2 linked regions of the Oryctolagus cuniculus genome follow. The protein of the gene in region 1 interacts with the protein of each later gene in a biochemical or structural test. Links are inferred from orthologs where the notes say so. Each region holds a gene or a part of one and is shown on either strand. Other genes may lie near its edges.

Region 1 (11,703 bases):
CCTGTAGGGGGGTGCCCCTTCTGCCAGCCACTCCCTGTGCTTGATGTTGTTATACTCGTGGGGTCCTCACCACACACCAGGATGAGCCAGGAGAAAGCTACCAGCCTGGGCCTCTGCTCCTGTGGAAACTGTGGCCACTCCCACCCAACAGAGCCTCTGGGACCAGCAGGGCAGGTGGTCAGCAGCTTCCATGTGGCCATCTCACCTGCAGGTTTCTGCACAAGTGGGCCCTTCTGCCTGAAATCCTTTTGTTCCCTTAACTTTTCATGTTGAACAGGGCATGGTAGCACATTGGGTTAAGACACCTCTTGCCACGCCAGCATCCCGTTTGGTAGCATTGATTCGTGTCCTGGCTGTTCCACTTTCAATCCAGTTCCCTGCTAATAAGCCTGGGAAGATAGTGGATGATGGCCCAAGACTTGGGCCCCTGTCCCCCACATGCGAGACCTGGATAGAGTTCCAGGCTCCTGCCTTCAGCCTGGACCAGCCTGGGCCACTGTGAACCAGCAGATGGAAGATCTGTCTGTGTTTCAGACGCTCCCTTTCTTTCTGTCTCTCTGCCTTTCAATTAAATATATAATTTTTAAAAGTATTTAAAAAAAGAAATACAAACTAAAAAAAAAATAACAGAATTGACACAGAGAAGTTCGGCAGACGGGGCGATGTGTTTTGTAACTAGAGTGCATCACCAAGACCAGGAAGCTGGTGCTGGCACAGCCGAGTCACTAGACGACGGCACCTCCAATGCTTGTGCCGTTCTTCCTGATTCGCAAAGGCCTCCTTGTCCCCACTGGGCAGTCCCTCTGAGACAGTGATGTCCCCTTTCTAGGAAGCCACCCCTTCTCACACTCTTCCTCCCTTGACCCTCCCAGCTGAGTGGTTAAGAACATGGATTTTGGAGACTTAACAACATGGATTTAAAGTCAGCATCGAAACAGCATTACGGTGCAGTGGGCCGGCCGCCACCTGTGATGCCAGCATCCTGTGTCGGAGCTCCAGTTTGAGTCCTGGCTGCTCCACTTTCAATCCAGCTCCCTGATAATGTGCCTGGGTAGGCAGTGGAGAATGTGCCAGGGCCCCAGGAAGAACCAGATGGGGCCCTGAGCTCCTGGCTTTGGCCAGGCACAGCTAGGATGGAGCCCCAAGCCGGCTGGTAGATTACTCTCGCTCTCCCTGGCGCCTCCCTCCTTCTTTCCCTGTCTCCATCTTTCTTGCTATAACTCTGCCTTTCAAATAAACAAATCTTTAAAAAAGCATTAGCCTCCGCTATGGACAATGCTTTCTGAGCCTGTTTCCCCTGACCATGAAATGGGGTGATTTTCCCAGTGTTGTCAGAGTGGGACAGGCTATGTGCTCCACACTGAGCTTCAAGTATGGCAAGTCCCGTGCACCAGATGGTCGTTAACAGTCATCGTTGGATTATACCTGTTGCTGTCACACCTACCCCAGGCTGACCCTGGTGTGTTCCAGCACCTTCCTGACAACACTAGAAAGTGTTCAAGGGCAAGCCTCCACATCTTGTAGCTCAATGCCAGCACAGGACATGGCATACAGCAGGTGCTGAATAGATGTGAGCTGACAGAGCCTGCCAGCTTTCCCATGGAACACGGTGCCACTGCAACTTTTTCTTCATTCTTGACCCTGATGTGCACGACACCTGCCGGGCAGCCCCATGAGGCTGTGCCATAAGGAGGAAGGTGTCTGTCACTCAGATGCCTTCCGGGGGACACCAGGACCTCAGAGGAACCTCCAGGCTGTCCTGGGACGCAGTGATGGGGCTGCAACCCTGAGAGGTGGCGTTGAGGGAGAAACCTCAGACCAGGATGGAAGCCAGCCTGCAGCCAGGTGGGGTCACTCTTTCAAGGAGGAAAGACCCCTGGGCTGCCCGCCCAAGTCTAGTAGAGATTTAGGACAAGTCTTTGAGCCTCGCTAAACCTCCACTTCCTCATCTATGAAATGGGGTTGTCATGTGGGTAACTGAGCTCATCGTGCGAACATTGCTACGTTAACCATCAGATCCTATATTAAATACAAGGGATTATCTTTGGCATGCCACATGACATTATACTCTCAAGTTTCTGAGCACTGTATTTTGTTTGCTTATTTTCAGATATGTTATACAAATAAAGTAAAGTACCACGTGTTGGTGAGCTAGATGTTTTCAGTTCTAGCACGCAGGCACAGGGACAACCTGTGCTGAGCTGGAGTGGGGTGCCCGAGTCTGCCTGACTGCAGGGTCTCTGAATCCACATGGCAGGGTGCTGGCTGGAGCTGTGATGCTAGTCCATGCAACACGGTATCCCATATGGCACAGGATCCGGTGTGACAGGGTGCTAAATTTCTGGTGGCTGGACCTCTGCTCCTGGCAGCTGCAGCCCTACTGGAGGAGCGAACAGAAAGTACCAGAACGGATAGGCTGTGTCCTCAGTGTTCAATGGGCCCCTTTTTCCAGGGAGGAAACCAGGGCCAGAGAAAGGAGGCCACTTGACTGAGATGACCCAGCAAGGCAGGGCCAGAGCTGCAAACATGCACCCCCACCTCTCCCTGTCAAAGGCTCCTTCTCCCCCAGCCTCCGCCAGCCATGCTGCAGGTGCTGAGTTTCCCAGAGCTGAGTCGGCGACTTGAGTTTGGGTGTCACTCCCCAACTTCAAGGTTCCCCAGGGAAATCCAGGGGCTGCCCAAGGGGCTAGAGGACCACCTGATCCGGGGCTTTCTGAGCAGGAAACTGAGCATGCAGCCTCTCTTGGCTCGGGCCCGTAAGGAGGGCGTCCACATTTCCAAAGAGCAGGGCACGCAGCCGGACGTCTGCACGATGACTCGGGGTCACGGACATGGCCCTGTGTGCCACCAAGTCACCTGCTAAGGAGGTTGTGCCCCTCTGCTTCCCCATCAGCCTTTCCAATGACTTGGAGGAGAAAGCTCCCGGCAGGACCCAGGGCTCCTGCCTCTCTGATACCCACAGCCCTCCATTTTCAGCAGGGGAAAGCAGTAATGGGACCAGCTGGGATTTCATGATGTCATTTGTTTCCGTGAGTCTTATTTCCACCGTTATTATTACAGCGATTTTCAGTGGCTTTCCCTTTAAGGGAGTGCTGTAAGCTTTCTTCTAAAAGAAATTCATTTTCACCTTAAGGCATTGATTAAGAGAAAACCAAATGGCAATGGCCAGGCTGATTTTAGCAAACCCCAGGAAGGTGGACTGGAATGTGGGGCCCAGGAAACCCAGCACTAAAGAATGTACCAGAGACCCTAGGCAGAGGGACAGGTGTTGGGAAGCGGGAAAGGGTGGCGCTCGGGACGCCAGCTCCATGAGGTCTGCTCAGTGCAGCCCAAGCACCTGGCCTGGGCAGTGAAGTGGCCGGTTTCAGGTTTATGGCCCAGGCTGGGAGGCTGAACGGCTGGACAGGTGCCTTTTCCTAGCAGGCAGTCAGAGTTTCTCCCAGCCACTGTCCCAGGGCCTCAGACAGAGTCACCTGCTGGTTCCTCCCTGTCCCAAGGAGAAGCCCAGCTCCTTCACCTCAGACTCCCAACAGCTGGGCCCAACTGAGTTCCCAGCTTTCCTGGAAGGAAATGGGGATGGTGCCACCAGTGAACGGAGACCAAGTGAGGGAGGCCGTGGAGGTGTTTCTCACTCATTCTAGATCCTTCCGTAGTCATCCGTGGTTGGTTAAATGAACCTTAGGAGCTGCCCCGATCCTCACCACCACCACCACCTCTGCTATGAGCTTGCTGGCTCCGCGTGTTAGTCACCCACCTTTTTGAACAGACTAAGGCAGAAAGTGTAGACACCAGTCCTATGTCACTTAGACATCTACAAGATGGAGCTGGCCAGGCGTGGAGAACGTGGAAAGAAATCAGAATAGGAAAGGTGACGCGTGTGTTTGATGGAGTGCAAGCCAGTGGCGATGCCCCCTTGGTGAGGGCAGGCACCGAAGGCTACGTTTATACAGTTTGGATCCAGGGGTCGTGGGCCAGTGACTTTTCAGCACAGGGAGATTAGAATTTAGAAAATAAAGATGACTAAAGAAACAAAAACCCCTGATGCTTCTACAAGGGTGCTTCCGAAGTCTGCGGAAAATGTGTGTGCTGACAAAACTACGTGTGAATTTCAAACTTGTTTTCACACCCAAATAAGCTTATCTTTTAATTCTATTTTCCGCACACTGAAGTATCCCCTTACATTTGCAAGCTCCTACCTGGGATGTTTCGGAATATTTGGCCAGTGGAGTTTCTCATGTATGTGATGTGATGTGGTAATTGATTTCAGTTCATATTTTTAAATAGCAGAGTTTTTAGATCTGAAGGCATTCTCTGAAATCCTTGGGAAGGTTGTTTCCCCAAGAATGGAATCCATTATACTTGTAATTGGAGTTTAGGATGCCAAAGGTTGTGCTACCCCATATAAATACAACACAACCTACATGTGAGGGGATTTCAAAACGTTTTATGGAAAACCAAATTTGGTGCCAAAAAAAAAAAGAAAAGAAAAGAAAAGAAATCCTTGCATGGTGTTTCCAAAATACACATTTTTTCAATGAACTTTTTGAAGCCTTTTCATACATAATTTAAAATTTTCCAATAGTGACATTGTTAAAAAGTAAAAGGGGACATAATAAAATTTGTTTAATATAAAATATCCCAGGTATTATCATTTCAACATGCAATTCACTTAATGTTTATTAATGAGACACATTATGTTCTTTTTGGAACTCACCTTCACAATCTATTGTACATTTTACACTTTACATATCTCCATTTGAGCCGCGACGTTTTAAATGAACGTTTCCAGGGGCTACAGCATTGAACAGCACAGATCTAAGGGAACTTAATTGGCTTCCCTTGTTGAGAACATTTATTATTTAAGGAAGCTTACACTGTCCAACTGGTTTGCTGAAATATTAATCAAAGGCCCCTTGAAAGTCATTGTTAAAAATTACTGAGCTGATAAATAAAATGGGATTTGTATGCTAAACTTCCAAGTTAAGGAAGAAACAGGTTTTTAAATTTGTTAAAGAATTGAAATACTTTCAAAGCAACCACAAGCCCCTGTTTCCACGCCAAATGGCAGCACCAGTGGGATTCGAGTCAGGACCTTGGCACTGCCCCGGTGCAAAAGCCCTTGTTACAGCGTTGGAGGGTCAGACCCGGAGGCACCCCTGTATCTCCCCAAAGCACCCCCATTCCACTGACAGGAAAACTGAGGACAGAAGAAGGAGAGGAGCACAGCCACATGGGAGTCAGAGCAGGACCCTCCCTCATCAAAGACTTCTAGTTCATTCTCCCTACATCTTCGTCCCCAGAGGCACAGAAGCGGAGGCTCCTGGACCCAGGCCTACAGGGAGCCCAAGGGAAACTTGGACCCAATCCTCTAAGTGCTGGTCATTCACCAACACAAACCAGGCACTGGGGAGAAGCCAGCCCAGGATCCGGCCCACCTGGCCAAGGATGTAGCCGTGTGAGGCCCAGGGCAGAGAGCCGGGAACCTCCTTGGGGAGGTCTGCTCCGGCATCGGAGGGCCATGGCCAGGTCTGCCAGTCCCCAGGTGGGCCAGGCTCCCCCACACCGTGCTCCTCAGGGCAGGGCCAGGCAGCCCGACCTAGGCTTCAGACACAGGCGGAGGCCTTGGAACCCTACCCCAGCCCTCATTCTCCAGGCTCCTTCTCCTCCCTCTCTCTCCTCCATCTTTTTTTCTTTCTTTCCCCTCTGGGGGCTTGCTGGGGTCTGGGCCTGCGCGGTCAAGGTGTAGGGGAAGAAAGACTCAGGCTGGGCACAGGGGCCCAGCCTCCCTGGGGTGCAATTCCCCTTCTGCCTGGAAAGTCCTTCCTTCTGGGGCGCATTTACACAGCTGCCGACCCCCGCGAGGGCCTTGAATGCCGGTGCAGCGCCCAGCGAGGGGCCGGACAGAACATAGACTGGCTTTTTTTTTTTTTTTTTGCCACCATTTATTTTTATGCATCCCTTCCCTTTTGCTTAGGACAAATGATACCACCTTTCCAGTTACAATCGTGACGTACAGTTTCCTTTCAAAACTCAGTTGATATTAGGAACAAAAAGTGAGTCAACTATAAATGCAGTTTCAAAAACAAGAAGTGAGTGTTGTGCTAGGAACGAAGCAGGCCAGGCCGGGGCTCTGCCCGGGCTCCCGGGTTCCTGCTTCCCCTTTGGGCGCCATTCAAAGCTGGTTCCCCAGGGTCCAGCACAGGCCAGCAGAGCCTGGAGCCCGGCACCCGGCTCAGCCCTCATTCCCGCTGGAGGGCCTGCCCACTCCAGCTGAACCCTGAGCCTCCCAGGGAAGAGCAGAGGGAGTGGCGAGAAGGGAGATGGGGAGGGAGCCCGTCTGTCTGTCCCCATGGGCTCCTGGGTTGGTAACTTCTGGTAGCGCAAGGAAGGAGGTGAAGCCGAGGGTCGACCCCACAGAGCCCGGGGCACACCAGTTCACACTCCCAGAGCTATGAGCAGAGCAGCCCAGAGGCTCAGAGCACGTGCCTGCAGAGAGGGGCAGAGAGGAGCCCTGGGCAGGAGCGTGTGCACCTGCTTCCCATGTCCCGTCCTGATGGGGCCTCCCAGGCTGCCCTCACTACAAACTGAAAGCACTTGGCTCCCCACTGCAGGGTGGACCCAGGCTCCCTGTGTCCACAGTATTGTCTCCATACCAGTCTCCTGGCCCCCGGGGCAGGCTCTCTGGACCTCTGCCCACCCCTGACCAGTTAGACTTCTACATACTCTTTGACAGGGGCCTGCATGTGTGGTGAGCACAGGTCTGTAGCCACCTGTTCACCCTGCGCAGGTCGCAAGTGTGCTCTGGCCACCCCCCGGTGTGGGAGAGCAGGGTGGCCCTCAAGAGCCTGCCACTTAAATGTGCCCTGGACCACCCCAGCTGGCGGAGCTGAGGCCGCCAGTCACTCAGTCTCCTGGGCCTTCCAGAGCTGTTTCTGGCACAAGGCTGGTGAGCCCTGAGCTCAGCTTTGGTGTTGAAAATCCGACCAGCAGAGGCCCTGCCTTTGGGAAGGGGAATGGCTGCTTCCTGCAAGGTGGCGAGAAAGACGTGGGGGGAGTTCCTGTTCCCCCTGGAGAGCAGCAGCACCAGGGAGCCCTTGGTGCGACACACAGCACTGTGCTCACACCGTCTCACTCCCGGCACCTCTCGGGACTGGAACACTGTCCAGGCACAGCCCTGGTGCCTCTCCCAGCCCTGGCTGCTGTTGGCATGGCCAGGGCCCCCCTGCTACGAGAATACAGTCTTGGCTAAACGGCTCCGGGAAACAACCAGGAGGCGGGCTCCAAGGACAAGACCCAGGTTCTTAGCACAAGCAGCAGAGGTAACAAAGGCGTTGGTTACCTGGGAAAGCTGCCCTCAGCAATCCAGCCATCACGACGAGGAGCCGTATGTCCGGGGCCATCTTGTCACTATGCGTGTCCACCAGTGGGAAGCGCCATCCTGGGGCCAGCAGGTGCACCCCTCTTGCCTGCCCTGCCCTTTGCTGGTCCTACGTGTGCCTTTCTCTCTGCTGCTCTCTGACACGCAGACAACCAAACCCAGCCTGTGAGTGCCTCTCACGCCTCTCTCTTCTGCTTGTGGTTTCGGTCTCCAGGAAGCCAAGCTGGTACAGCTGCAAGCTGAGTGGGTGCAGCTGCCTCTGCCCCAGGCCTGAGTGAACCCCAAGAGTCATGGAGTCAGACTACATGGACACACACGTGTGGACACACACTTCCCCAGGATCCTCTAATGAAGAGGGAAACGGAGGGACTGTGTCCCATGGCACATAGTAGATGTTCAATTAACACACATTGGAAGGGGAATGAATGATCCATTGTATGTCCCATTCCATGGATTCTGCTCTCATAGGGTCACATCCCAAGTTTACCATGTCCTTTAGTTCAAAGGTAGCTGGGAAACAGGAAGCACTTTTTTTTTTTTTTTGAAAGGCAGAATGACAGAGAAAGAGGGCGAGGCAAAGTGGTATCTTCTATCATTGCTTCAGTCCCCAGATGCCAACCACAGCCAGGCTTAAAGCCAGGAGCCCAGAACTTAATCCAGGTCTCCTGGGTGGGCGGCAGAAACTCAGTGCCTAAGCCATCATCTACTGTTCCCTGGGCACACTCAGAGGAAGCTGGGTCAGCAGCAGAGGCAGGCCTCTGATATGGGATGCAGGTGTCCCAAGTGGCAGCTAAACCTGCTATGCCGCGACACCGCCCCTCAATGCACTTTTTTTTAAAGACTGATTTCATTTACTTGAAAGGCATATTTACAGATTTCATTTATTTGAAAGGAAGAGAGCGACAGAGACAGAGAGAGGCAGAGAAATCTTCTATCTGCTGGTTCACTCTCCAAATGTCTGCAATGGCCAGGGCTGGGCCAGGTGGAAGCCGGGAGCCTGGAGCTCTATCTGGGTCTGTCATGTGAGTGGCAGGGGCCCAAGTACTTAGACCATCTTCCAGTGCTTTCCCAGGCTCATTAGCAGGGAGCTGGATCAAAGTGGAGCAGCTGGGACTTGAACTGGCGCCCACGTAGGGTGCTGGCATTGCAGGTGGTGGCTTGATCCTCTGTACCACAGTTCCTGCCCCTTGATGCACTTCTTTGAGAGCCAAGAGCGCAAGTCTCCCTCAGAGAAACGTAAACTGGGGTGAGCCTGGGAGGAGACATCTCTCACCTCCTTCTGCAGAGAAAGAGCCCTGGCCCAGGTGGGGGCTGCCCCCTGAGATGGTACAGAGGGGTCCAGCTCCCCTCACCTCTGGGTTCAGGATTCCAGCATGGCGATGAGCCCTGGAGGAATGAGGAGGGATTCAACAGGCAGTGATGGCGGAGGCTCAGGGCTGGAAGGAACAGCAAAAGGAGAAGGCTGGAGGAAGAGGGTCGGGGCAGGCTGGGGAATGCTGAGCTGTCTAGGTGGACGGCAGCAGCTGGGCACCATAGGAAGAAAACAGGGACTAAGAGTGCTTAATTCCCCGGTGGGCATACAGTAGGTGCCGAATAAAGTTTTGCTGAGTAAATGAACCAATAGATTCTTTAGATGTCCAAACAGAATCCTGAATTAGCCCAGAAGAGGGTTGGTTGTGACCCCTCTCAGGTCACCTCTCCTGGCCGGCCACTCCCTGTCCACTCCCCACATCCTCATCTTTGTTTCCTCACTTATTGGGGGGTCCTCCTCCATCGAGTCCTGCTCAAGGGGTGGTTTGATGCAAGAGGTTTTGGGGCCACAGGGAGCCAGGCTCCTCCCACCCTGAGACCCTGTGGAGCGGAGGGGGCAGAATGGTCTCTGCCATCAGCTGAGGCTGCCCCCTAGTGGATGGTGTGTAGCAGCACAGGGCAGTGCACGGGTGTGTTGGGTTCCCTGCTGGAATTCCATTTGCATTTACCCAAACGTCCGTGTGTGGAATTCTGTGGGCAAGGAGCATGCAATTCACAAACACAGCGACCAAACCACAAGCCAGCGTGAGACGACCACAATACGCGGTCTTCTGGTCCTGAGCGAAACGTGATTAAGAGAGGCTGGGAAAGATGGCCAGATATGGTTGCTGACAATTTGATAGACAGCATAAGCTGAGATGTCTCTGATGCAAAACACCGGAGAAAGAGAGTCCAACAAAACCAGTTCACGTCATCCTTAAAAACGCACCGCTGAGGTGGCGAGAAGTAAGGACGAATCATCAGCTGTCGGAAGTGACAAGTCCAAGTCCAAAGACAGCAGGAGCAAAGGCGTCCCTGAGGAGCCTGCTGATCCCCATGGCCAAGAACTCCAGTTCAACGGGCCTGGACAAAACCCAGAGCTCGAGAAAAATCAAAAACAGAATCAGAAGACCCCCACCGCCACCACAGCAAAGACCACCACAAAGCAACACAAACGGAGTGGACACAGAGCTGGCCTGGCTCAGCCATGACTTGCAGGTGAGGGAAAAAACATTTCAGCTCCAAATGCTCCTAACTGCTCGCTGGCCCATGATGGGTCTGGAAGTGGGATTTACAGCATCAATAACCAAGCAGCAATATGCCATACAGCAACAACAACAAACAAGCAATATAAAAAGTGAAGGTGTTTTCCTGACATTTCCCTAGGCACATGGCAGGAAGATGCAAATCACCCCTGGTGTAATTCACCTTAAACTCAGGCCTGTAAGGATTCCCACAGAAAAGTCACCAGGAACATGAGCTCACGTGCAAGCATTAAATCCTAAAAGTCAAGTCACAAGGAATTTTGGAGAGTGGCACAAAGCAGTAAACCATAGAGTCAGATGTTTAAAAACTTTAGACTTATAAAGATAGTGTATGTAATATAAAATAAGGATGATTCATGTGTTTAAAGAGATAAAGTGGGTAATAACAAGAGACTACCAAGAAATGACCAGAAGGATTTGAAAAAAATCAAGTAGTACTTATAAAAAACATAATGTTTTGAAACTGGAATTTCAGTGGACAGATTACACAGCAGATTAACATAGCTGAAGGGAGAATTAGTGACCTGGACAACAGGTTTGGAGAACTCACTCAGAATACAGCACACAGAGATAAAGAGATGGGAAATGTGTAAAAGGTTAAGAGACATAGAAGATGGAACAAGGACTTGAATATGTTCACTTAGAGTTCTAGGAGGAAATGGAAGATTTCCAATGTTGGTGAAATATGCAGTCCTCAGATTCTGGAAGCTCCTCTAACCCAAGAAAATGAGAAAAAAACCTTTACCAAGTATTTAGCTAAACTGCTGATCAGTAGAGAGAAGATGAGTTATTAAAGGTGCTGGCAGTGACTGTCCCAATACCAACAACGGAAGCCAGAAGACAGCTCAGAGGCCAAGGGTCACATCAAACAGCAAGGTACTTCTGGGGAGTTTCTAGGCCTCTGAGAACCCCTGCCAATACCCACTCCAGGAGTCGGCACCACGGCAGAAGACATCTCAAGACCACAGCAAGAACTACAGACTTCTTCAAACCCAAACCAGACAACGAACTGCTGGTAGAACCACCTGGTCTTCCACTTCTGAAGAAGGCAATGACCATGAAAGGGGACGATGGCCAGTGCAAATGGTGCCATTGTGTGTCCGAGTCCCTGGGCCAATCACCAGACAGAAGACACATTTCCTGGAAAGATCTGAGCTCCCACCTCTCCTCTGTCCTTCTCCCAGGTGGTGGAGAGGATCCCAAGTCATGATGATATCCATTCTGAGACCCTGAATCATGATTTACTATTAGCAAAAATTCACTGGAAAAGTGTCAAATAAATAAAGAAGTGCTGAGGAACTATGACTGTCTACCTTGAATAGTTTTCAAGAATGAGATTGAAAAGATGAAGCCATAGTTAGAATGGCTTCCCCAAAGCTCATGTGTTGGAAACTTAATCTCCTTTATGTTGATGGAGGCATGGCCTATGGGAGGTTATCAGGGTTAGATGATGCCATGGGGGTGAACCCCAACATCAGGATTAGTGGTTTTGTGAGAAGCGGAAGAGAGGAGCCGGTGTTGTGGCACAGCAGGTTAGGCTGCCACTTGCAAGGCCAGCATCCCATACTGGAGCACCAATTTGAGTCCCAGCTGCTCTGGTTCCATTCCGACTCCCTGCTAACGTACCTGAAAAGGCAGTGGAGATGGCCCAGGTACTTGGGCCCTTGCTACATGTGGGAGATCTGGATGGAGTTCCAGGCCCCTGGCTTCAGCCTGCCCAGCCCTGACCATTGCAGACATTTTGGGAATGAACAACCAGGTGGAAGATTC
Region 2 (11,046 bases), on another chromosome or scaffold:
GGACTAAAACATTGGCCTCTGATGAGACTCCATCCTGCTGGGTTTCAGATTGGAATTAACATTGACTCTCCTGGCTCTCAAGGTTTTGCATAAAGAAAGGAACTGCATATCAGCTCTCCTGGGTCTTTGGCTTTCTGAAGATAGATGTTGGGACTTCTCAACTTCCATAATCACATAAGTCTATTCCTTATAATACATCTTTCTTTGCACACAAATACAGACAGACACACACACGTGTGTGTGCACGTTGGTCTGACTCTGGGGAAGCCTGAATAGTACACTAAGTATTGGTGGAGTCTTTTCAAGACTGGGGAGTGACATGCAAGATCAGGAGTGGCTGTTCCCTAGTGTGAGGATGGACATCATGAACATTGGTCACAGCACACAATAAAAAAAAATTATACATGAAAAGAGAGGCCCAGTGATTAAGTGCAAAGATTCTCAACATTACTACATTCAATCAAATAATAATCAGTTCATTGCAAACGGTGTAACCTTGGGGCCACTGCTTGGTGCAGTGGGGAAAAGCCCAGCCTGCAGCACCAGCATCCCATACGGGCTCCAGTTTGATTCCAGGCTGCTCCACTTCCGGTCCCACTCTCTGCTAATGTTCCTGGGAAAGCAGCAGAGGATGGCCCAAGTCCTTGGGACCCTGCATCCACAAGCTCCTGGCTCCTGGCTTCAGATCAGCTCAGTTCTGGCCATTGCAGCCATTTGGGGAGTGAACAAGCAGACAGAAGACAACTCTCTGTGTGTCTGTCTCTATCTCTCTTAGTAACTCTGTCTTTCAAATAAATAAAATAAATATTTTTTTTTAAAAAGGCAAGTCATGTAACCATTCTCTGCCTCAGATTTTTCAAGTGTGAAAACATATATATTGATTGTATCTGCTTCACGGATCTGCTATGAGAACAAATGAGCTCAATACATTCCTTTCTTGTTACGTGACTCTAAAATTGCTGAGCTACTGCTTTATTGGAATCAACATCTTTTTAGGGTGAGATTATGGATCCTCTTTGGAGCCTTCTTTTTCTTCTAATTTTATTTTAAGTTAACTTTCCTGAGGCTCTTAAAGGGGATATATCAACAAAAGAAAAATATGTAATTAAGTACAAAGTCGCCACTAGTTATAAACATCTCACTGCAAATATCAATTTTCTCATTTATAAGATAAGGGAGGTTAAAATCCATGTTTGGAATCTAAATATTGCCACAGAATCACTAATGTGACTTTTAAAAAATTGCAAATGCTAGAAACCCTTTCCTGTGCAATGACATCTGAAGCTAGGATTGAGGAGGCAAGGAGAAGTATTAGGCATGTGTGTATATTAAAAATCTTCACTGGTTCATCAAAATTTCATTATAAATCATTCTTAGATGATGATAAGGTTCATACTATATAGTATTACATGACTAATACTTTTAACTGATTACTCTTTAAAATTCTGAGAGGGAGGGAGAAAGAGAGAGGGAGAGTTCACAGATTCTCATCCCCTAGTTCACTCCCAAAATGCTTGCAGAAGCAGAAGCTGAGCCTGACAAAAGCTAGGGATTGGGAACTCAATCTAGGGTGACCACGTGGGTGACAGGGACCCAATTACTAGAGCCATCAGCCACCTGCTCCCACTGTACACAATAGCAGGAAGCTGAAATTAGGAGCAGAACTGGGATTTGAAACCAACCTACTCCAATATAGGATAGGCATCCCAACCGTAGATTAAGTCCTAAACCAAACACTTGCTCCTATTAGTTTTCAATCACACACCATCACAGGCATTTTAAAAGTAATCTTTGTACTTTGTCTAATCAGTTTTTTTTTTTTTTTTTTTTTTTATTTCGACAGGCAGAGTGGACAGTGAGAGAGAGAGACAGAGAGAAAGGTCTTCCTTTGCCGTTGGTTCACCCTCCAATGGCCGCCGCGGCCGGCGCGCTGCGGCCGGCGCAGCGCGCTGATCCGATGGCAGGAGCCAGGAGCCAGGTGCTTTTCCTGGTCTCCCATGGGGTGCAGGGCCCAAGCACCTGGGCCATCCTCCACTGCACTCCCTGGCCACAGCAGAGGGCTGGCCTGGAAGAGGGGCAACCGGGACAGAATCCGGAGCCCCGACTGGGACTAGAACCCGGTGTGCCGGCGCCGCTAGGCGGAGGATTAGCCTAGTGAGCCGCGGCGCCGGCCAGTTTTTTTTTTTTTTAATTTTAAGCCAAAATAATCATGTATGTCTCTCTGAAATAGATTCTCATTTGGAGCAAACTCAAGTAAATAGAATGAGGTAGCAATGACAAGATCCTCCAATGTTATTAGTAGTTTTATTCCTGGCCAGTTTTATTCCATGGCTGTTGTCCATGTAATGACACCTAGAAAGTCTCTACAATAGGTATTAACCACTTTCAATTAATCTTTGCCAATCTTAACCAAAAAATTTAGGATATGTGATTTTTAGCCAGTACATGCTTTTAAAATATCTACATAATTATGCATAGAAAATCTCTGGTAGTTGGACTCAGACTAATGGCTTGGAAAATTAAAGAGACACATGTGAACTCAAACCCCAGACCATGTCTCTGATGTTGACAATGAAGTTCCTGTGAGGTGAAATAAAATATGATCACTCTGATTTGGGGAATATACCTTTCTTACTATAGAAATTATAAGCACAGCTGGAGTGAAGATAATTGATACACAGTATTATCTCTCAATAAAATTCAGTAAACAATGAAGATTATTTTTCACAACTTACTTTGATTTCTTCATGTATAGCCAGTAGACGACACCAGCAACAAGAGCAGCAAGGAGGAGACCAACAACAATTCCCACAATTAGTTTTGCTTGATCATTCACCTTTTCTCTGTTTTCATCTATAACAAAAAAGAAAATTCCATGCAATTACAGAAAATGCCAAGAATTTGAAAAAATAAATCAATCTAGTTATTACTTATTAAAAGTGACTAAGGCTCACTACTGTGATTAACATGCAAACTTGTGATTTTAAAGGGCAAAATTTTAGCATTCTTACTATCTTGTCTCATTTTGTATTTTAATTCAAGTTGAAATTAAGGACAGCTGGGAAAATTACTTGTCCAATGACACTTCATAAATCTTGAGCTGATAATTAAGGAAGAAGTCGGCAGCATAGTACCTACCACTTATCTCGTCTGCCTCATCGTGTTCTGGAATACTTACTGAAATGAAAAATGTTAATATGAAATTAAAAACAAAATTTGTTGATATATGAAAGTCACCTTTACCATTATAGTATGATGTTATAGTAGTCAAAGATAAAATATCTATTCTAGAGCTAAGGGTAAAAAAAAATCACAATTAACAGAACATGAAATTCCCTGCAAAGAAATTAATTTTTAAGGAAAAAAAGTAGTTAAAATTGTGAACGTATTAATCTATTATAGAAAATTTTACAACTGACAAGCTATAGTGTTAATATGAAAGCCATATTAATTTTTCCACTATCTATCACCTTTTAATAGTACTTCTTTAATAAGAGAAACAAGTTGGCACCAAAGAAGTCTATGATTTGGTGTTCCTCACTTTTACTTGCGTCAATATAGGAGAAATCATTTTCATTTTTTATTGCCAAGAACCTATCATAGAGATGTTCATACAGCAACTGAGATTGAAGTTAAAACTGAGGATGCCTTAGAGATTACCAAGCAAATATGCAGTGATTTCAAGAGCCTTCCAAATGTCTCTGATAGTGCCAAGCTCTTGGCTCATTTTAAGAATCACTGCTATTGCTGATTATCATCTAATATTAAACTATATGAATATTTTCAGATTGCATGGCCCTACATCAAATCTGCTGTGATGTTTGATATAAATCATATTCTCAGATTCCTCCTCATATATACTAAATTGTAATCTCAGGAGGTGCTCATTGAATTTGAAAATGTATTAAATGTTGATCAAGCTCTACAAGACCTAGAAAACTAAAGCACATCATTCAATGGCTTAGAATAAAAAGAGAGACTTTTGTTCAGGAAGAACGGATAGGTTCTCTTCTAGGAATGGCAAATCAACACTTGTGGAATTGCATTGTGAAAAGTCAATGCTCCTATTTTAGAATTAAATTTGGTTCTTTTCTCCTGTCAATCCATCAGGCCTTTATAGTGCACTTATAATCTATTAAGGATCATCATCTTTAGGCAATTAACAGTGCATCCATAGCTTGCTGATGTGACATTCAGGATTCTGATTGACTGAAGAATGAAATTTTGATGGGTCAGTCAACAGCCTGTCCAGATTGAACCTCATTCTAGGACAGTCCTGATTTAAAGTGGACATAGCACTAGGAACAACAGCAGAAATGAAGATGAAAAATAATTTCATATTAAATAGCAATTGTTTTCAGCAGAAGCTGCTGTTGGAAAATATTTGTAACACTGATTTCAGCAATTATTTTTTTTAACTTATCTAAGTTAGTATCATTTTTTTCTGATTTTTGGCCATGATTCAAATATGATATAACAAAAGGAACAATTTTTGAGGCCAAATTTCATGAATTCTATCAGTTCTACTATTACTATGTGGAATGATGAAGTTTTTGACATTCCTATTCAAAATAAGAGTAGGAGAACACCACCAAAAAGTGGAGTGCAAAATAACAGATTAAAGGGAATTAAAATTTACTAAATTTAGAACTATTACAAGAATATTTTATGATTGACTGACTTAACTCTGCACTGAACACAAAACATGTATTAAAAAAGAGCAACTTCTTTCCTTCTTATTTTCTGCTGCTCTTGGGAAATATTCTTTGATTAGATAAAGTCTCTGATTCATAAAACATGAAATGATTTAACTGTCAAGACAAGGATAATACAAGTATGGAAACCAGGAAAAAAGAAAAAATAACCTCATGATGATGATACCAAATGTAAAATAAATAAATAAAACTTACCATAATGCAGTACAGGAAGATGGAACTGAAGATTTTAAACTAATGAAGAATAACTTCAACTTTTCTTACTTTTTAATGCCAGAAATGAAATACTCACTAGCAGAGACATTCAAGGAGTTTACTGTTCTCTCCAGTTGGTTTTCTGCTGCGCAAGTTAAAGTAACATTCTCTTCAGGGGAAATGATAATTTTACTATAATACCTGCCATTGATATAAGGGGATTCCTCTGTCTGGAAAAAAAAAAGGAAGATGGGTTTAGAAATGAAAATAGAAAAACATGGGAAAGAATAATAAGGGATGAAATAGGACAGTTGTGGTTCTTTAGTACATGCTACTGTTCGTGAGTATGTGTAAGGTAGGGCGCCAGTTCTAGTCCCGGCTGTCCCTCTTCCAATCCAGCTCTCTGCTATGGCCTGGGAAAGCAGTGGAAGATGGCCCAAGTGCTTGGGCCCCTGCACCTGCATGGGAGACCAGAGGAAGCACCTGGATCCTGGCTTCAGATCGGTGCAGCTCTGGCTATTGCGGCCATCTGGGGAGTGAACTAACGGAAGGAAGACCTTTCTCTCTGTCTCTACCTCTCACTGTCTATAACTCTACCTCTCAAATAAATAAAGAAAATATTAAAAAAAAAAGAAAGGATTGTATGCCTATATCTACAGCAGGTAAGAAAAAGACTAGTAATCCACAATGGGGTTTCTTTTTTTTTTTTTCAATTGTGACTTCTAATGTTAAATTAAACTTTCAATAGATATGCAGGTGTAGTCACCATTTTGGCATGATGATATTCATCTCAAAATAATTAAGCAGTTAAGATCTAATCACCTCTTTCCCTCAATAAACGTATGAATTTAATTATGAATTTGGAAACTGCTTCTGCTTGCAGGAGTTAATTCCTTTACCTTAAACCACTACATCTAAGTGCATATATATGTATGTATGATTGTTCATTGGTAAATAAAATCTTTGTTTTCTAGATTTTTTTGGGCTAAATACAGATGATGGACTCTTTTTTTAGTTACTTCTAAGTCTGAATTTTGTGAGATATTAACAAGGGCAATCATTGTATTTAAATCCTTCAAATATAAGAAACCATAGACTTTAATCTCATCTCCTAGAATTTGACTCCAAAATTCAACATGACTGAAGCTAATATATACTATATATTATTTTCTCAGTCATTTTTACACATCATGTCCTAGATAGCTCTCTGCTTGCTTTTTCCTTAATTATACTCTAAGTACCTTAAGGACAAAGGCGGGATTTCTTCCAGTTCCTGGGGGTGGAGGAAGGGTAAAGATACATCCTAGTTGTAAAATAATAGATTTGGCATGTGTTTGAGGAATGAACAAATAAAAGATTGTGGATTGATCAGCACAAACTTAGAAAAGAAAAACAACATATCACCTAACGGGTCAGAATCAATCCTTCTCCTTGACAAAGAAAAATGGAATTATTATTTCTGGCTCATAGGAAATTCATCTGCTACTTTTATCCTACCTACTAGGATTTTTCATAGGGTTTTCTCATTAAGACCCTGTTTTTTTTTACCTTGCTCTAATAAAGTACATTTTTTCATTTCCAGGATAGCCTTTTAAATCTTTGTATCCTTTCATTCATCAGACATTCACTATGTGCTTATTTTTCTAGTTCTTATTCTTGTATTATTAGTACCTGAAGGTTTCGTTTTACTGCACTTATTACTTAACTGAACTAAAGAGCAAAAAGGAGAGAGTAGAAAAGAAACATTTCTATGTTTTTAGCATTTGATGATATAAAATAGCTTCATAGGTTGTCAGCAATTCCAGAGGTTTAGATCTTTATTCTGAATCAAGAAACTGCATTTCCTTAAGTTGAAAGGGTCCAGAGCCTCTGTGCTCTTCTCTGGCATGGCCTCTCAGCTGTGTGTCCCATCATACTTAAACAAATCAGGAGTCATTTGCTACAGGGGTGTCCCATACCCAAAATCATGCCAACAGAAATGCATCATCCATAGGGGAATGAGCCAAAATCCACATTGCTGTGCAAAGCTACGTTGCCTAAGGTGAACTGTGGTCTGACTTCCCTGGTAGAGGATGAGTGGAGATTTTGACTTAAAATTATTTTGCAGGTGTTTGTTTATAGACATCTTCTCAAATTTCAACTGGGTCCAAAGCTGGGAGGAAGGCAGAATGGAAGATTCAAATAATCAAATGGCACCTCTAGGTGCTGGTAAAGTCTTTAATTATTCCTCCTGAGAAGAGGTGATGTGAAGATTGTGTGGAGAAAATGGAATTTACAGGTAGGTTTGTAACACAAGCAAATTGGAAATGTTGTAGGATTATAGTTCTGAACACCTGGTGACAGGGCACATCCTCACCTTTTTTTTTTCTTTTCTTTTTGTGTCAAAGACTTAATATTAGTAGAAAATTACTGATACATTCATATGTTCTTAGCCCTTTGCTATTATGAAAATGCCCATGAGGGGTAAAGATATTAAAGTTTGGTTCAACCCTCTTGTTCAGAACAGGACACTTTCTTTATTCTGAACTGAGTTCAATCATAGGCAAATCAAAACAAATGTGCACAAGCAATTACTGTACTTTTCCCACACTCAAGGCCCAGTTTCAAGAAGAAATATTCCTTTATGTGCTTCAGCAAGCAAACTAATGAAGTCTACTTATATTCCTATGTGTCAATTTATGATGTAGAAAAGTATATACCTTTATGCCTGAATATTTCAGAAGTTAACAACCATGGAACAACATCAGATTTACATTCCTTTAAAAACAGATAATATTTCTTTCATTTTCCATGACCCTGGAATTTAAAATTTCTCTTTGAGTCATGTTCTTCCTTTGGGAAAATTAAAAAGTTAGCAAGAGCTTCCCCTGAGAATACACTGCAAATTTCAAGTGGCAACAAACCTTTATGTAGTTTAGGTACCTAAAAAAACTCTCCATGGACCAAGTACAGCATAGAACAGAAGACAAATACTTACTTGGTTTATGACGCTTCCACTGCCAGTAATGGTCCACTGTATAGCTGGCTTTGGAAAACCCTCTACGTGGCAGATTATTGTTTTAGATAGTCCACTGGGATCAGTTTTCTTTGTCATTTTGATTTGAGGTTTTCCTAGAATATTATTACAATTAAAGTTTAATGTTGAACCATTATCATAAAAGAGACCATCTTTTTTTTTTTTTTTCCTCAAAGAAAAATCTGCATTGGTGAGAAGTATCTCATTTACCTTCTACAATGAGAGTCAGGGACTCTCTTTTCTTCAGGCCTTCAACTTCTTGTAGAGCAGTTTCACAGACATAGTTTCCAGCATCCTGATACTGAAGACTGGAAAACGATGGGCTAGATCGAAGCTTGATGTTGTCCTGATTAAGTAAAAAGTCAAGTATTTCACAAGGCATGATAAGACTAAAATTATTATTTTGGGTCTACTGAAAAATTTTCTTAACTTCAGAGGTTTCCAAATATAGATTTCCTTTTTCCTTTGTAGTTTTGGAGTGAGACATATTGGAATTTTATTTCAGTCTCTTCTATTACTAAATTTGCAATCTGGAACAAGTACATACAATTTGGTGACTTAGTTTTCTTTGTTAATGAAATGGGGTAATAACTTACCATATTGAGTTACTATGCAAACTTAATTATATGAATAATGCAATGGTTTCTATTAAGGGAAGTTCTCAATTGAGGATACCTGCTAATTGCAGTTGATGGAGATTTCAGCAATGGGTATATTTATTTTCAAGTTACTGCATCAGAACTGTTATCAATATAGGGGATCCATTACAGAGCCATGACAATTATGAAAAGAATGGATGTTTGTTTTAAGATTTATTTGTTTAAAATGTACAGTGTCAGAGAGAGGGAGAAATACAGACACAGAGAGAGAGCGAGCTTCCATTTGCTAGCTTATTCCCCAGATGCCAAAACCAGCCAGGGCTAGGTCAGTTTGAAGCTAGGCAAGGAACTCTCCCATGTGCATGACAGAAACCCAAGTACTTGAGCCATTATCTGTGACCTCTCAAGTACATGAGCAGGAAGCTGGATAGGAAGTGTGGAGTAGCTAGGATCCAAATAAAATATGAGAAGCGAGCATCCCATGCAGTGGCTTAACTCACTGTGCTTCAACTCCATGGAAGACTGATTTTTTTAAAGAAACTCTTAACAAATTATTATACTAAGGTATATGAACAAAGAAAACATAACATTTAACTTCAAATATCATCTGAAATACAGAAAAAATTCTATTTTACTAGGAATTGAACCTCTAAATAGAAAACTAAGAAATCCTAAGATTAGATGGTTTTTGTCTACTAGAATATTTACCCCTTTCCCCATCAATTAACAAAAATGAAATTTCATGTAAAGTGGAATTAAAATATATTTATTTTGCAAAAAATATTTGAAATCCATGCATATAAGTAGCCTTCAAACAGCTCATTTGAGAATAATGTGAGTAAAAAACACATTGTAAATTGTTAATCTCCAAAGTACATAGCTGTATGTGTGTGTGTGTGTGTGTGTGTGTACGTGCATGTGTAAAATCACTTAGCACACATATATAGTTAAAATAATGCTCCAAATTAAGTTTTGGAGCATCGGTCATGGATGCCACACTGTTTCTGAGTACCTCTAAAGTTTTTGTGTAATTTGGTTTGTATTATTACAAAGAAAAAGAGACAGCCTAAGTGTGGGTATATAAACCTGTTATCAGTGAATATATATATGAATATAATATAACAAAGAAATCAGCTCAAACAGTAGGACAGTACCAAAAATATCACTTACTTTCATCCACACCACGGTTGCATTCCTACTTGCAGATATTGTGCATGACACAGGCAGGGAATCACCAATCTGCTTGGTCACTTCCCCACTTGGGTTTAAAGACAAATCCAAATCTGTGAAGCAGAAAATCTGCTTGAAACGCAAACTCCAAGAAAGTAAGATAGTCAAAATACACTGGAGATGAAAAGATGAAAAAAAAAACACCTTATAACTGCACTTGAAAGTTCAGACCTGATTTATGTGACTGAAATAAATGAACTGAAGCATAATCATCTTAGTGTTTTGAGCCAGCTTTGAGACCAACTTGGACAAGTGAATTAGCAATGTAATTGATCATGCATCAAGTTGCAGTTAATACCACTGATGTTTTGAGTGCATATAAATGATCCCCTAAGGTCTATTACCTTAAGGAAAAAATTCTTAAATCACTTTTGAAAGAAAATAAAAATGATGACTAAATAAATATTATAAAAGAGATGGTACAAAGGTGAGAAAATCAAGTACAGTTATCCATCATTATAAACTGGAAAAGCATAGATAGTTTAGGTGTTCCCTCAAAGAAAATTGACTAAAGTAGTTTTTTTTTTAAAAAATGCTATTTCATTTCTCACATAGTTGAAATTTTGTAAGATTTCTTGCTAAGTATACTGTCACTAGATACCATTTTTTAAAAAATAGTATAAACACATTGGAAGATATATGATCTTTCAGATGGCAAATAATAAAAACCTTACTACCTTAGTATGATCTGTATGTAGAAAATCCAATTCAATCAAACACACAGTTACTGTATAGCTACTCTGTCCCAAGCACTGATGGGAGATACAGAGATGAATAATAGGGTTACAATTTAATGTGGTAGAGGTTATATACACTCAACTTAAGATTATATAACATACAGCCTATGAAATAGGCTCCCAGTAAAAACCCAGTACAGATTGGGAACTCAATAAATATTTGTTGAAAGATGCAGGGTTACAAACACAGGTTCAAACAAACACTTAAGGGAGAAGTATAGAGAACAGAGGCAAACTGGGTTTCAAAGCAATCATAAATGCTTTGTATAGGAAGCTGTGTGACCCCTGATGATTGAGAGGGCTTTAATAGTTGGAGATGAAAGGCAAACTTTTGCCATGTAAGCCAAGAAAAAGAGAGAAAGAGGTGAGAAAGCTTGGAAGATTTCACAATAGTAAGTAATCTAGTATGAGTGGTGATAACTCACAGAAGATAAAGCCACATAATTAATTGAGACCAGACGGGAAGTTGGAACTTTATTCTAGGGGATGAGAATAAGTCATTACACAATTTGTTCTTCCTTGGTTTAAGGACTGTTATTGCAATCTGTTGATTG

The links.
Region 2: the proteins of CD6 (region 1) and ALCAM form a complex in vitro, tested with the Homo sapiens proteins (4 studies listed by BioGRID and IntAct). The link is inferred for Oryctolagus cuniculus from reciprocal best matches to the Homo sapiens genes CD6 and ALCAM.

Annotation. Positions count from the first base shown.
Region 1 is NC_091432.1:11,619,265-11,630,967, forward strand, and holds the start of CD6 (T-cell differentiation antigen CD6), read right to left. Parts: upstream 7,553-11,703; 5' UTR 7,401-7,552; coding exon 7,340-7,400; intron 1-7,339.
Region 2 is NC_091435.1:60,577,363-60,588,408, reverse strand, and holds part of ALCAM (CD166 antigen), read right to left. Parts: intron 9,809-11,046; coding exon 9,696-9,808; intron 8,273-9,695; coding exon 8,137-8,272; intron 8,022-8,136; coding exon 7,888-8,021; intron 5,141-7,887; coding exon 5,008-5,140; intron 3,178-5,007; coding exon 3,139-3,177; intron 2,854-3,138; coding exon 2,736-2,853; intron 1-2,735. UniProt on the Homo sapiens protein: Cell adhesion molecule that mediates both heterotypic cell-cell contacts via its interaction with CD6, as well as homotypic cell-cell contacts. Promotes T-cell activation and proliferation via its interactions with CD6.